Linked DNA regions of Astyanax mexicanus. The protein of the gene in region 1 purifies or fractionates together with the protein of each later gene. This does not show direct contact. Links are inferred from orthologs where the notes say so. Each region holds a gene or a part of one and is shown in the gene's direction. Other genes may lie near its edges.

Region 1 (7,553 bases):
CATAGCATACACTGGCCATTTAGCTGTTTTTACACTGAATGGTCCTTTTTTTTAGGAAGCCTGAGGTAAAGGAAGTGCTGGAAGCGATTCTGTACTACCATTCACAAACCCACCTCACAAAATGAATGTTTTTCACAGTTGTGGTTCATGACTCTTATAGCTTGGCCTTCACTTCAGGCCATAACTGTCAAATCTTGCTCAAAAACAAGTTTTATGATGCTAGTTTCTGCTGGCATCCTTAAGGGATTCTAATAATATGTTAGCATGAAGCTAACACAAACATTTAAAGCTTGATTTTTCAGTGAAGGGAATATATATGAATTAGATTCTATATAACTTTGTCACATCTGAAAGGGATTTAAATCTGACTCATCTTAAATCAGATTTTTTTTTAAATAATCAGATCTGTGTCACAATGAGGCAAAAATTAAACGTAATTCTTTTTATCCTGGTTAATTGAACTAGTTCATTTAAATGTGTGTTTGCTTTTCTTGTAACCACAGTACAAAGCTGATAAATCTACAGTAAACTGAAAGTATAGAGTGTATAAAATACCTTCAGAAATGCACCTGCATGTTTTTGCATTTACATAACGCTCATTCCTCTCATAGCTGCCAGGGGAGTTTCTGCAGGAACCTGAGAGGACATTTCCATAATGAAGTTCTGAAACTGACCTGAGAGAAAAAATGAAGATGAATAGAAAGAGTTTTTGCCAAACACATTAGGTCTGCATTATGTGGTGATGCAGATTATTTCATGTGTTAACATGAGGTCAGTTGGTTCTTTGTAATGCCCCTGCTCAGTAGCCCTGCAATTATCTGTAAATGAGGGGGAGTGTTGCCTCAACACGGCACCTACTGACTGACAAAAACATGTAGCCTTCCAAAGAATAAAATCAGGGATTATGTAACAAAAACAGCAATCTTTTATAGGCGAAAGAGTATATGGGGAAATTGTGGCAGATCTAAAAACACCTGTTTCTATTACACACTGGTGTCACATAGCACTGGCCATTTGTCTGTTTTATACTGAATGGTCCTTTTCTTTAGGGAGCCTGAGTTAAAGGAAGTGCAGGAAGTGATTATGTACTACCATTCAAAAGACTCACTTCACTAAATGAATGTTTTTCACAGTTGTGGTTCATGACTCTTATAGCTTGGCCTTAACTTTAAATCTGGGTAAAAACACATTTAAAGGGAATAGATTTATAAGATTTACATCTTAAAGTGACCCAAATCTGACTCATCTAAAATTGTATAAGAAAAACAAACAAACAAACAAAAAAACATATCTGTGTTACATTAGGGCAAAATTTCACCCTGGTTATTTGAACTTAGCCATGGTGAACAAAACTATTTAGTTAAGACGTGTGTTTGCCTCTCTTGTAAATGTATTCTTTTTAAGCGGTTTCTGTATTTAATTTTGCATTCCAACTTAAATGATGCAGCAGCTACTCTAACAAGCTTTCGTATGTGTCCCATACTGCTGCACTATTTAAGGTGCAAAGGAAATAATGAGAAACTAAGATCTGCCTTGTACCCACCACAGACCTCTGTGCTCCTCACATTCATTTTGTACAGACCATGCTGACCCTGTTCTCCCACCCACAACCTCATTCAAGGCCGTTTCTTTTTTTTTCAGCATTGTGTTTCCATGTTTACTCTGCTTCTCCTAGGTAGATCTGTCACACAATATACTCCACCTGGTCAGAAAAAAGGTCACACACTAATATTTGGTTGGAATGCCTTTAGCATTTTACAACATTTATTTCTTTTCTAAGATCTTGTATCGATTCCTGCAGTCGGCTGCTGCCACTGTTGGGCAAATGCAGGTATGCACCTCTTTGGTTATCGATAATTAATGTGAGAAGTGAAGTAAGTGCAAGTCGGCAAAGCCATGTCTTAAAAAAATGTATCCCTCTAGAACAGAAAAGAAAAAAGCTGAAAAAAGAGAAAAAAACAGCCAATGACAAAGGTGGGTTTGAATTACTAATTTCATAATATTTTTGTCATCCTTAACCAAAAATGATATCACGGCTTTCAAGTCCAGGTCTGGTGGTACCTCCCCATCAAAATATTGCAATATATTGAGTCTTAACCCCTGTATGATGATATGTATTGTGATATGCATTGTTTAAGCCAAGGTCACAGCCTAATTGCATGTCTTAGAGGAAGCACATGCTAGCTTTCCTCCTCACAGTAACATTGTGTTAGTCTAAGCCTGTGTTGGAGGACAATATGAATACATTGGGGAGATTATTAATTAATTAGAAGTCTGGGCCCACATGAATGAACATATTGTACAGTTTATTGACTCTGGAGGGTGGGGCAGTTTGGGTGTCAGAATGAAGCCCTGCAGAAAGAGTAGCTCCGTCAGATCAAAAATGTTGTGCACAGATCAAAGCAGCATGCCTGCAAACGCTGCAGCGAAACCTGAGCAGCAGCACCAAAAATAGTAACACAACAAAAGAGCCGTAAACCAAAGCTGAAGAATCCCCTACCTAACTTTTTCATCAGAAAAAAAAACAGAGCAGGACACAAATAGCACGGTCTGAACAAGAGGAAATATGAAACCGTCTGAAAACATATTAAAACCAAGTTTTAAACCTACTGAAAGCAGGCCTTAGAATTTGTAAAATGTTTGAAATAAAAAACAGACTTAGACCATGTAAAAATGTAGCAAAATCACATAAAAACATAATATTTTGTTATAAACCGTGCTAAAAGTATTTTTCTTTTGTAAAAATAATGTGTGATATGCTGTATATATAGTGGCTTATGCCTGCACTAATGATACAATGGAATGCAGCTTAATATAACATACAGTGATGTAAAAAAAAGTATTTGCCCCCTTGCAGATTTATTTAGTTTTTACATTTTTGTCATACTTACATTTTTCAGATTATCAAACAAATATAGAAAGCATGTTTTAAATCATGATTTCATTTATTAAGGGAGAAAACTATCCAAACCAATCCAGCCCTGTGTGAAATATTCTTTGCCCCCCAAAAATTAACTGTGATTAAGCACACTTTTTGGAAAGCTGAGTTCAGGTTACATAAACACAACCAGGCCTGATTACTGCCAGACAAGTGTAGAATCAAGAAATCACTTGAAAAGCACTTGTCGGACAACATGAAGCAGATAAAAGATCTCAAGAAGCAACACATTATTCCGTGATCTGAAGAAATTCAAAAATAGATGAGAAAAGTCACAGTCATTTCTAAGGCTTTGGGACTCCAGCGACCCACAGAGAAAGATATTAATCACAAAAATAGAAAACATGGAACACTGGTGGACCTTCACAGCAGGGACCAGCTGAACTAAATTATTACAATACATAATTTCAGAAAAAGAACATTATACTGAATGTCAGGTAGTGTGATTTTCTGGGTCTGCTTTGCTGCTTCAGGACCTGAACAATTTGCTCTAATAGACACAACCAGGAATTCAGCTTGTTTCCAGACAATCCTGAAGGAGAATATCGGCCCTCTGTTCGTGACCTTAAACTCGGGCGTACTTGGGTTCTGCAGCAGGACAATGATCTAAAGCACACAAACAAGTCCACATCTGAATGGTAAAAAAATAAGTGGCCTAGTCCAAATCTGATTGAGATGCTGTGGCACGATCTTAAACAAGCAATGTTTATGCTCAAAAACCTGCAATGTGTCTGAATTAAAACAATTTTGTAAAGAAGAGTGAGTCAAATTTCTCCACAGAGATGTGAAAGACTCATTGCCAGTATTTGGTAAAACTTGATTGCAGTTGTTCACGCCAAGAATGGCACAACCAAGTTATTAGCTTTATTAGCCACTTTGATCAGGAGATCGCTGGTTCGAATCTTCATCCTCATCCTGGGTGGGTAGATGGCGCTCTCTCCCCACATCACTCCTAGATTGATATCGAGCAACACAAGGCGTCTGTGAGCTGATGTTTTGGAACTGAGTTGCTGCGCTTTCCTCCAAACGAATCAGCAATGCTCCATCAGCAGCAGTTTGAACAGAGGTGGTGGAGGACCTCACATGTATTGGTGGAGACATGTGTTAGTCCTCACCTTCCTGGTGTTGGGGCGTCACTAGTGATAGGGGGAGAACTAATGAGGGGGTTGGGTATCTGGACTTGTAAAATTGGGGTGAAAATGGGATAAACAATAAAAAATAAAAGTATTTATATAATTTACATCAACAATCATTCGTCACAAGGTAGACCAAAAAATTTATCAAAGAACATAAATCAAACATAAATTAAATTTGACCTCATTAACTATACATATACAGTAAATAACAGATGTGACGGAAAAAGAAAAAAAGCCAATATTAGTCGGATCTATGACCTGTTATGGTAAGCTCTCGCGAGAGACCCGATTTTAAAACAATTTGAGAATTGCAGGCAGCCGGCGCGTTCCAATTCAACAGTTTCACTCTAACCCTCGCCTACTCGAACTCGATCCCTTGCAAGTCATGGTATTGGCAGATATGCGGACTTGGAGGAGGAGGCGGGGCTTAGAGTTTAGATGGTGAATTTGGACGGGGCCGAAGGGAGAGGGAGAGAGAGAGAGAGGCGGTTACAGTGACTCAGAGAGAGAGAGAGCAGAGAACGGTGGGGAGAAGTCGATAAGTTTCAAGTAAGGAACAACTCTAAAAGCGTTTATTTTAACTCGACTGTGGTGTTTGTCGCTCCTTCCCGCCTAGTGGAATGAAATGCTGTTACGTGGGTGACTCGAAAGGTAAGATATTTCTGAGAGAAAAAAAATCTCTTCGCTTTTCTCACAACTTCAAATATATCCAACCGTCGTCAGATAGCCTAGCATAAATAACGTTTACAGTTCGCCAAACAAAGCGTAAAAGACGCTTTAAAGGTCGACTCTGTTCATCTGTTAATCAGCGCAAACCGAGTTTAAGGTCGACTCTTTGTGTTTTAGTTTGTGTTTTGTGTGAAATGTTCGTCTGTAGTTTAGAAGGGGGAATCTACAGAGAACACAAAATAGCTTTAATAAGCAGCAGGCCTGGGAGTTAGCTAACCTGTGTTAACGCTAGCTAAGCTAACCTAGGTGTAGCTAGCCCGCCCGCTAGCCGCATATCTCTCTGCTCTGGCGGTGTGTTTCGTTTCCTTTTGTTAGCTACATTTGATACAAATATGAGCTTCGTTTGATGTATTAGCTATTGTATATTAATAAGGTATGTGTTGTATTGTTGGTATTTAATCATCCGTTTGGTCATTTGTATCGGTTATAGCTAACCCTTGCTTCCTTCACGCTTAGCCGTAGTGTAAAGTCAAGGTTTTATAACTGAACAGAACCTTAATGTAATTAACGTGTTGAATTTAACGATACTTTGTACAGGACTTTAGAAAACACCCCGCTGTTACTAACTGTAATATAAGCGTCGGTAGCTAGTTTGTTAGCTAGGTCACTGTGTGTGGTAGTGTTGGAAGAGGCGTTAGCTTCTGATTTATATAAGACTCCAGACGCGAATAAAAATCTTGGTAAATCCCTTTATAAAAGCTTGTTTGTTGCCGGGCTGTGAAATGATCCTGCCATGAGAGATTTCACCATTAATCTGTCCTTCGGCTTCCTACAGGGATTTCTCTGTCGTAATACTGAGGGTATGAGTAAGTTTTAGTGAAGTGTGTTGTACTTTATTCCTGCTTCTGTAATGTGGAGCTGGATTTTTAGACATTGCCTAATCGTGGGTGGTCTGAATCAGGGATGCACGATGATCTGGGATGCAGATCAGTCTTAGCAGCTAAGTTAGCTGATTGTTTGTTTCTTGTTTAAGCATTGTAAAATATGTTCAGAATTTACATCAGCACAGTGTATACATACGGCTCTGAAAAAAAATTATGAGCCCATTTTTTTTTTTTTTACAATTTTTACCATTTATAGGTATATGTTTGAGTAAAATGAACATTGTTCTTTTATTCTATAAACTATGGACCATATTCTGCCAAATCCCAAATAAAAATATTGTCATTTATAGCATTAATTTGCAGAAAATGAGAAATGGCTGAAATAACAAAAAAATATGCAGAGCTTTCAGACCTCAAATAATACAAAACCTACAAAAACAAGGACATATTCATAAAGTTTGGAAATAAATATTTGGTAGCAGTTCAGCTTGGTTTGATGGCTTGTGATCATCCATCATCAGATTTTTAAATGGGTAAAATCAAAAACTCATCATTTTAAGTGCTCTCTTATTTTTTCAGAGCTGTATATACATTATGTGATTTAAATGTGACTTTTTTGTTAGTTTTCAAGAAGTTTTCAAGTTTTTTTCATTTATTTCTTTTTTATTTAAGAAAGACACACTTTTTTTAAGACCATGTTTTTTTTAAGATTGGTAGTTTTGTGGTTAAAAAAAATACATGGTTTTGTCTTTTGTGTGTGTGTATTTCTGGGGCTTAAAGCTTACAGGCTTGATGGCATGTGTGCTAAACTGATTGTCACTAGCAACAAGTTACTTCTGAAAGTGTTTGCCCTTTGTCTAAATTATTTTAAAACATTAGATGAATTTAAAACACCATACGAAATGAAGCATCATACTACCAGCACTATCAACATGCCACAGTAGAATAATATACCGAAGCACACCATGAATTCTGTCAAACTTTATACACCTATCTCACTGTATCAGATAAGGTTCATGCTGGCAGTAAAGCAGGGTACATGGACTGTCCCTACATGTGGAGGGTACAGTTCACTGCAGTAAAGCCAAATTATGATTTTAGCTTCCTACCTTATGCCATATGTATTATTTTAGAATTTTAGTCTTACAGAATGACAAGATATTACAGGATTTTGCACAAAAATGTCTACCAACGCTATCCATTTTCTGTAAACATTGTCTTAGACATTTTATTAGTTATGTTATGTGGTGGCAGTGGTAGAGGTGTTTCAAGGAGTTTGCAAAGAGGTGCAAAGGAGCTTCAAGACAGTGTGCAACAGTAATAAAATACTAGCATAACAATAATATTACACCATTTTACAGTGAAACTAACTTTTATATTATTAAGAACAGACACTGGGCTTCCAATTTACAAATATTTTAATGTTCAAAATAAATCAAATAAAGTACAACCACCCTGGGACTTTGTGGGTTCTGAGAAAACTGCGCTAAATATTAAACAACAAAAAGTAACAACGTATAGATAAGTAACATTTACATTAATACAACTTTTTTTTAAAACTCTGGACATAACACAAAGGCACTTGCAGATTATCCTTTTTTGATTATATATGTCTATACTGTAAAACACAAATTGGCGTCCAAAGACACAAGTGTCCATATGATCACACAGATGGTTGAGCAGGCAAGAACTCTTGCTATAAAGGGAATTTTTAACATAACTGTCAGACAAATTCTGAGCAAGGGACGCAAACATGTTTATCATGTGGGGCTTGATGCAGGATCTCTCTGAGGGTAACAATATTCATATTCAATATTCAGCTCGGAAAATTGGCTGGATTGTTGTGCTTTAAATGAGATCGCAACTTCGTTTCCACTGTTTTGAAACAAGTCAACATACCGTCTCTTTCGCGTTGATGGTTCTCCT
Region 2 (7,814 bases), on another chromosome or scaffold:
GGTATGATGCCTCTCCAACGTCCCCCAGGGATGCCCCCTCCACACCTTCAGCGTTTCCCCATGGCTCCACGGCCAGGCATGCCCCCCATGCCTCCACAGATGATGGCTCCCAGGGGCCCTCCTCAGATGATGCATCATCGAGAGCCTCCACCAAGTGGATTTGGCATGCATCCCCCTCCACATGTCATGCGAGGCCCTTTTCCTCACCCAGGGCCTCCGTTCATGAGGCCTACTGGCCCCAGAGGACCAGACGGACCTGAAGATCCTGAGGGACGGCCCTTCAGGGGTGAGCATTCCGGGCCGGCCCGGGAGCGAGACAGGGATCAGGAATGGTTTGGTGGACGCAGGTCGTTTGGCGAGGGCCGTGGAGGGGACAAGTTGGAAGGGCGGGAACGCTTCGGGAGCTGGAACGAGGAGGCAGAGCAGAGGGGTGGGTGGGACAGGACACGGGAGCGCAGAGACTGGAGAAGGAGTCCGGACGGAGAGAGGGAACAAGGACGAGAGCAAGGTAGGGAGGGTGAGGAGCGACCCAAACGCAGAGACAGGGAATCGGGAACGCGAGAGCGAAGTACCCGCTGGGACAAGGATGACAGACTTGACAGACTGGCTAATATGGGCACTCAGTCCAACGCAGGCAGTCAACCCAACGGACATGAGGCGCTCGGAGACTCTAGCAGCTCGGAGCAGTCTAGAGACTCTGCTAAAGAACTTACTCAAGCCAAGGCAGAAGCTCCGCCCCCTCCCACCGAAGTGACTGCAGAACCACAGCCCTCTGAACCGGCAGCAGAAACTCAGAACCAACCTGCAGAACAAACAAAGACAGACGAATCATAGGCTACGCTTATCCCCTGGACTGCAATGCCCATATGATATTTGTTCTTTTTGTTTTCTTACTTGACAAGATGCACATGTTTGTGTGAACATTTGCCTAAACACCATTTAGAATGGTAATGGAAAGACATGAGTATCAAGCATCACATGGGTTCAAACCTGAAAATAAAGGCCAGATATTTAAGGTAGAAGAACATCGGGTAAAAGCCATGTAGATAGTATGTTTATTTTACATCCATGTCCTGGCTAATCTTGGACACTACAGGCTAAAGAGGTGAAACGATGCAGAAACAACTTGATTTATATGGTTTGTGGTCCTATAGAAATAAATTATATGCCTTGTCCCCCTTCTAAAATGTCAAAATCAATGATCCTGTAATTGACTTTTAAGAGTCTGGCTAACATGGAGCACTGCTCTGTAATCAGTGTTCCATTGTGGAGCTTGAATGTTGCTTTAAACCAGTGTTTCCCAGTCCTGATCCTGGACCACCCTTGCACTGCTCTATTTGTTTTTTTTTTCTGCTCACACACATTTGTAGATTAATAAACAACTTGTTTATTGGTTAACAAGTTAAATCAGAGGGGTAGGACCCAAGGAAAATACAAAAAATATTCAGTGCAGATATACTCTAAGTCTAGAGTGTGCACCAGTCATTCTAAAAAGGTAAATTAAAAAAAAGAAAGAAAAAGAAACACATGGGGGTAAAAATTTAAGAAGGAAATAATCTGCTGTAAATATGCTTCCACTACTCAAATGACCTTTGTAGATTTGGAGGTAAGGTGTGTTTTTGAAGTATTCCCCATGAACATGGAGAAGATAGGAAACCTTGACTAAAATAAGAGACAAAGACCCTTTTGCTGTAATGTTTTTAACTTGCCATGTTTACATCGTGCGAAAATGAGATGTTTGTATAATTTTTAAGTTTGTGGAGATGTGAACTTGTTTAATATTTCAGCAATAGGGATTTGGTTTTAATAAACTATTTTCATACCAAAATGAACAAACTGACTAAGCACTTGTTTTTTCAGATGCTTTAGTTTTAAGGTTCTTTAACTGAATGATTTCCTCATCTGAATTTTTCATTTTGTGTGGACTGTATGTTCTCTGGCGATGTGTAAATTTGATTTACTACATGCATATTACGAAACTTATTTTCTTACATTGTGACATACTTTTGAATTATTTACATTACATTTTTAGAGTATTCAGAAATTTTGACAAACAGTAAATGAAAGTGATGATTTTTTAAATCTTTTTTTCCACAGATGAGTCAATTTTCATATATTTTTGTTCCTGAAAAATAAGTAATTGCATGAGTTTGAACCACCACCTAGCATATTCTGTGTTGTTTGTCTTCATAGCAAATTTGTGTTGAGTAGGATGGGGTTATAGTGACCTTCAGTAGATGTATTTGTCGTGCAAATGTTTCACCAGCACAAATTCTTTCCTTTTATTTACTTGTGCTATATTAGAAGGCAGTAAATGAGTGCCTGTTGTTATTAACAGAAATTATACGTAAAGGCAGACCATTAACAGTGCACTTGATACAAAACTAAACTTATTAGTTATTAAATGATGTAAACTATGTTCATCCAAATGCTGCAGTATTTCACAAAGCGAGCATTGACAGGCTGACCCCCCCCCCCCCCCCCTCCCCCCCTTTTTAACCTCTGCAGCAGTGCTGGCAGAACTTGTATGTCTCTTTTCAAAAGCCAACCTCTGGATATTACGCTGAACATGTGAACTCAACTTCTTTGGTCGACACTTGAGTCGATCCTCTCCAGTTAAACTGCTCTATGGTTTTAGCCACCAAGCTGCAATTTAAATTTCAAAGCGTTGGCAATCTTATTATTTCCCAGGCCATTCTCATAGTTCTTTGTCATGAGGTGCCATGTTGAACTTCCAGTAACCAGTATGAGAGAGTGTGACGGTGATTAAAACCTAAATTTAACACTCCCGCTCTCCATTCACACCTGACACCTTGTGAAACTAACTTCTCACATGACATTGGGATAGAAAATGGTTCATTGGAAACAATTTGGTCAGTTTCACTTGTACTCACTTTTGTTGCCGGCGCTTTAGATATTAGTTGCTGTGTGTTGAGTTATTTTGACTACTTGACACTCACTTGTCAGATACTGTAACTCTTAAGGAGAAGACAAATCTTCATAACTGAAGGTCAGTGTAAAAAGATTTTTTATTTCAGGTAATTTTGGAGAATTTGAATTGGTCTTTATATCATGACCGTGTGACTCAGTGAAAAGATTAAAAAAAAAGTAAATACAACAAGTAGAGAAAAAAAATGGAGATCCTAAGTTTTTGTTTGACAGCAACAATGTGAATATAAATGAGGGAAGTGATGACTTTTAAAGGTAATAATAAGAGGAAATGCTAACTGATGAAAAAGGGAACAAGTTTAACCACTATTCCGTTGTTGGGTAGAATCAGTCAGTTTATAGAGAGCCTGCTCACGTCTTGTATCACCTGTTATATCAGAAATGACAGCAGAATACCCATGAGTGAGTCTAAATTGTTGAAAGGGTGTGAATTAAGTTAATTGGCTAAAATCAGCTTAAAATAATAACCAATCACAATTTTGAAAATTAATCAGGTTTTAAGCAGTAAAGGTGTTAGCATTACAGCTACTGTGGTTAGTGAGCTGAAGCTGGAGATACAGCCTGAATAGCAAGTTTAAAAGGTTTATAACTGCCGTTTAAAAGCATTAAAAATAATAAAATAACACCTGCAGTGCTGAAACATTTGATATTGCTCTCTAAAGTAGCTAATGGTAATGCTAACATTACATTCATGTAATGTTTTGGATTAGCCAGTCTAGCACACACAGCAGAAACTGGTTAATCTGGTCTTGTTAAAACTGTAAGCAGTCTACTTTCTGCTGTACGTCAGACCTATATCAGATCTTTATCATTTTCACACTAATTATTTATTTGTTTTGAATAAAATTTGTCAAAAAATCGATCGATATTTGCTTTTATTGTTTTTTTTTTACAGCTAAGATGTGATATATTAACAAATTCCTAATAAGGAAATCATGCTATGCCAAGTAAAATTATCTAGACTTCTGAACCTCTAAAAACTCTTTAATAGTAAGTTATTACACCAAATGTTTATTTAAGACAGTTTAACCAGAGTTTAGAGAAGATTCTGGATCTGAAAATTACATATTAAAATAGTGGACAAATACATGCAGAGTTTTGTACAAATAATAGTTACTTAAGACAAGGGATTTGTTCAGGTCCGTTCATAATTAAAAAAAGAGTGAAATCTGCACTGCATTTATTTTGTTGTAGTCAGGTTGTATTTATCAGTGTTGTTAATGGAAAATAATTAATCCTAAATTTGTTTGTAAAGCTGCACTGACTTTGGACTTGATATAACACAGTGGACCAACACTAGCAGAAGACTACGACTCTTCAAACCATCAGATGTGGGTTTCACTTTTAAGCAGGACTTGGCACATGGCCCACACTGCCAAAACCAAAGGGTTTGTATAATATTCTAATTATAATCATTTGAGACACTAATTAAGCCATAATAATCAACAATAAAAGAACGCTTAAAATATATAATTCTGTGTGTAATACATCTATATAATAAATGAGTTTCACATTTTTAACTAATTACTGAAATAAAGTAACTTTTCAATGATATTCTAATTTTTGGAGATACACATGTATTATGTATTTATTCATTCGTTTATTTGCTCATTGTTCTTTTTACAGAATGTATGTTATTTATGTTATTTTAATATATAATTATGCCTTCCCTAAAAAAATCTGATTTAAAATAATAATTTTTTTATCAGATTATATGAGCTAGCAGTCGACGCGCTATCTTTTCGCTTGAGCTTCTAGCCAATCATCATCACCGGTCTAATTTATGCCTGGCCTCTTAGCCAATCAGCTGCCCCGCTGCGATCCGCGGTTGTGATTGGCTGGAGAGAAGTACGTCGCTTCTCGCCTTATCAAACAGCGCTGGGCGGTGAGTCGGGTTTTTGAGCTCAGTTCAGAGGGTCAGTTCTACAGAGCTCTGATAAACATGGTGCATAAGGCTGTGTGTGTGCTGAAGGGGACCGGAGAGGTGACCGGAACGGTGTTCTTTGAGCAGGTAGATGAATAATTGCGGTGTTTTACACTTTTCTGTGCAGGAGTGCGCGAGCTGGCTGTGCTAGCTAACCTGCTGAGTTGCTGTGTCAACTCGGCGCGAGCCCGCAGACTCCGAGCGGTGTGCACTGCTTCAGCTGGGTTACTAGCTAATGCTAACTAACATGTTAGATAATACCCGGGTCTTTAGTGCTTTAGAGCGCGTCCTGCAGGTTTTTTAATCACCAAACCTGATTTGTTGACGTTTTTAGCTCATATAAGGACAGTATCCGGTGTTCTGTCGAGTTATGCTACCATGTCAAAACCGCGCTACCTTAGTGTAAGTTATATTTAACTGGAAAAAATACAAAAAAAGAACAATTTTAGAGAACGTTCCCAGCAGATCTCTCAGTAAGTTAGATGCGGGTTAGTATATTTGAACAGAATAAATCACTGTATCATGTTAAAGTTATGTCAATGAGAGGTCTTTACAAACTGCTTTTGTATTTTCTTTTTCAATAATAGTAAATTGTATTTATTATTATTGTCGATTTAATTTTGCGCTTTTGTGCAATGCTAGCGAGGCCAGATTGTTTACCGCACAAAAAATTATTCATTATAAAGAAAAAACAGAAGAAATAATTAAATGGTGTAGGTCAGCGCATGCGCAGTGCCTTTAGGAAGCATATCTCGATGGGTAGCATAACTTGACAGAACACCGGTGTAGCTCTGCTCCTCCTCCGCTAGCGAGCCCCGTGGTTAGCAGCTATGCTGTGTGGTTTGCTAAGTGTTTTGTAACGAGCGCAGCGGCATTTCATACAGACCTTGCTAATCCTGCTGCACCTTTCTGTGTGTTAATGCAAGCTAAATCTCCTGCTCCATAAATCTCACTTTAGTCACAAACACGGGAAAACTATGGTTTATATATTTAGTTCTAGTTAAATCAACTAGGTTAGGTTACAGTTTATGCTCCTCGTCATTAAACATAGCACTGCTAATTACCTAACGTTACATGTATCATAGTATTAGCTCGACTAACTACTGTTGGATAAGTGTAGTAATAAGTAATAGCTGTGTGGGGAAAAGGCATAATCACCAGATCAGAGTTTAAACTGGGTAAAAGGGAGTTAACCTCTGCACGGCCGCAGACCCAAGTCCAAACTTCTTGCTGAGTCATTTGCATCGTGCGGTTAATTCATCCAAAAAAACGAGTTTGCAAGTTGAACATGCACAAACTAAACAGCCTAGAGCTGGAGCATTGCGTATAACTCGTTTTATTAAATAATATCACGGTATTTCGTGGTATTTTTTTTATTCTCGATAACGATACAAAATAAAAATACAAGAATTCTATCAAATCTCATTGTCATTGTACTATTTATGCACTCCAGATATCTCCATATATCCAGGACTAAAGTAAATTAAATGATACTGGACAGATATTATCTGTCTCTAGTAGATACATATAATGAACAATGAGAACAGTGTGAATGTTTCTTTAAAAGTACTACCCTAATGTGATAAGAGGTGGGTGATACGGCACGATATTTCCAGGTATAATAACGTTTACGATATTCAAAAATGTTGGCGATATAATTGTGAATGATACAATATGACACACCCCTACTCTTTATAATTGTTTAACTGATATATATATATATATATATATATATATATATATATATATATATATATATATATATTAAGGGTGGATTATCTAACTATATAGGAGCTAGTATTCATCTTCTATCTATCAATAAAACCATGTCACAGTTGTAGCTACAAAGCTGTGAGTAGTTAACATTAGCTTAGTTAGGTTATCAATTTAGAGACTTTAAAATGTGCCCTCAGTTTAACAATTTATAAAATAGTTTTTAATGAATTTAAACAATGCACTTTTCTATATTTCACAATAAATTCTGTCATTCATTTTAACAGACTATACTTTGATATGTATATCGGGGATATCATCTATATATATATATATATATATATATATATATATATATATATATATATATATATATATATATATATATATATATATATAAAATGTGTGTTTTTTTTTTTTTTAAGTATATACATATAGTGCAGATAAGATAAAGTCAGATAAGTTATGATTATGGTAGATTGTGACCAGTATTATTGCACAAGGACTAACAGTGAATAAATAGCAAATGAATAGTAGATGAAAGGTGAGAAATATTGCACAGTAAACATATTGCACAAATGGTGATAAAGAGAACATGGTACACATGGTGAATTTGCACATTGCACACAATACAGCTATACTGAGCAAGTAGTTTTCATGTAGTAATAAAATAGTAAACGAGTGTTTACTGAGAGCATGGTGTGTTGTACAGTCTGATGGTGTGTGGGAGGAAGGACTTGCAGTATTTCTCCTTCACACACTGCTGGTGCATGGGTTTGGGACAGGTTCTTTAGCATGTACTAAAACTTAGACCTCAATCTCCTGTCTCTCACCACCTCCACTGGATCCAGAGGACCCCAGGACAGAGCTGGGCTTGCTAGTTTGGTATTGCACAGTCCTGCAAGGTCACTTTTGCATATGCATGCCAAAAGATGTACAGTACTGTGCCATCCTGTACATTTCTGTTCCTAGAGGTAGCAAATGTGTAACAAAACGTGTGTTTGTTAGAGACTGACAGTAAGTGCTCTGGTGTTTCAGGGTGATGGTGCTCCAGTAAAGGTTTCAGGTGAGATCACTGGCCTCACTCCTGGCCTGCACGGATTTCACGTCCATGCTTTTGGAGATAACACAAATGGTGAGTTTTTTTTTTTTACCCTCTGATGTATTAAAAGCTTAATTACAATTACTGAGATGTTTAATAATACTTTCACTTCAAAATCAGATCATG

What was found. Proteins that work in one complex are often made in the same cells at the same time.
Region 2: the proteins of rnf19a (region 1) and sod1 purify together in Homo sapiens (affinity purification with western blotting, with the first as the bait; 3 studies listed by BioGRID). This does not show direct contact. The link is inferred for Astyanax mexicanus from reciprocal best matches to the Homo sapiens genes RNF19A and SOD1.

The regions. Positions count from the first base shown.
Region 1 is NC_064410.1:32,967,698-32,975,250, reverse strand, and holds the start of rnf19a (E3 ubiquitin-protein ligase RNF19A), read left to right. Parts: upstream 1-4,550; 5' UTR 4,551-4,694; coding exon 4,695-4,725; intron 4,726-7,553. UniProt on the Homo sapiens protein: E3 ubiquitin-protein ligase which accepts ubiquitin from E2 ubiquitin-conjugating enzymes UBE2L3 and UBE2L6 in the form of a thioester and then directly transfers the ubiquitin to targeted substrates, such as SNCAIP or CASR.
Region 2 is NC_064427.1:36,970,476-36,978,289, reverse strand, and holds the start of sod1 (superoxide dismutase [Cu-Zn]), read left to right. Parts: upstream 1-4,795; 5' UTR 4,796-4,891; coding exon 4,892-4,960; intron 4,961-7,624; coding exon 7,625-7,721; intron 7,722-7,814. Other genes in the region: scaf4a (SR-related and CTD-associated factor 4), read left to right, coding at 1-834. UniProt on the Homo sapiens protein: Destroys radicals which are normally produced within the cells and which are toxic to biological systems.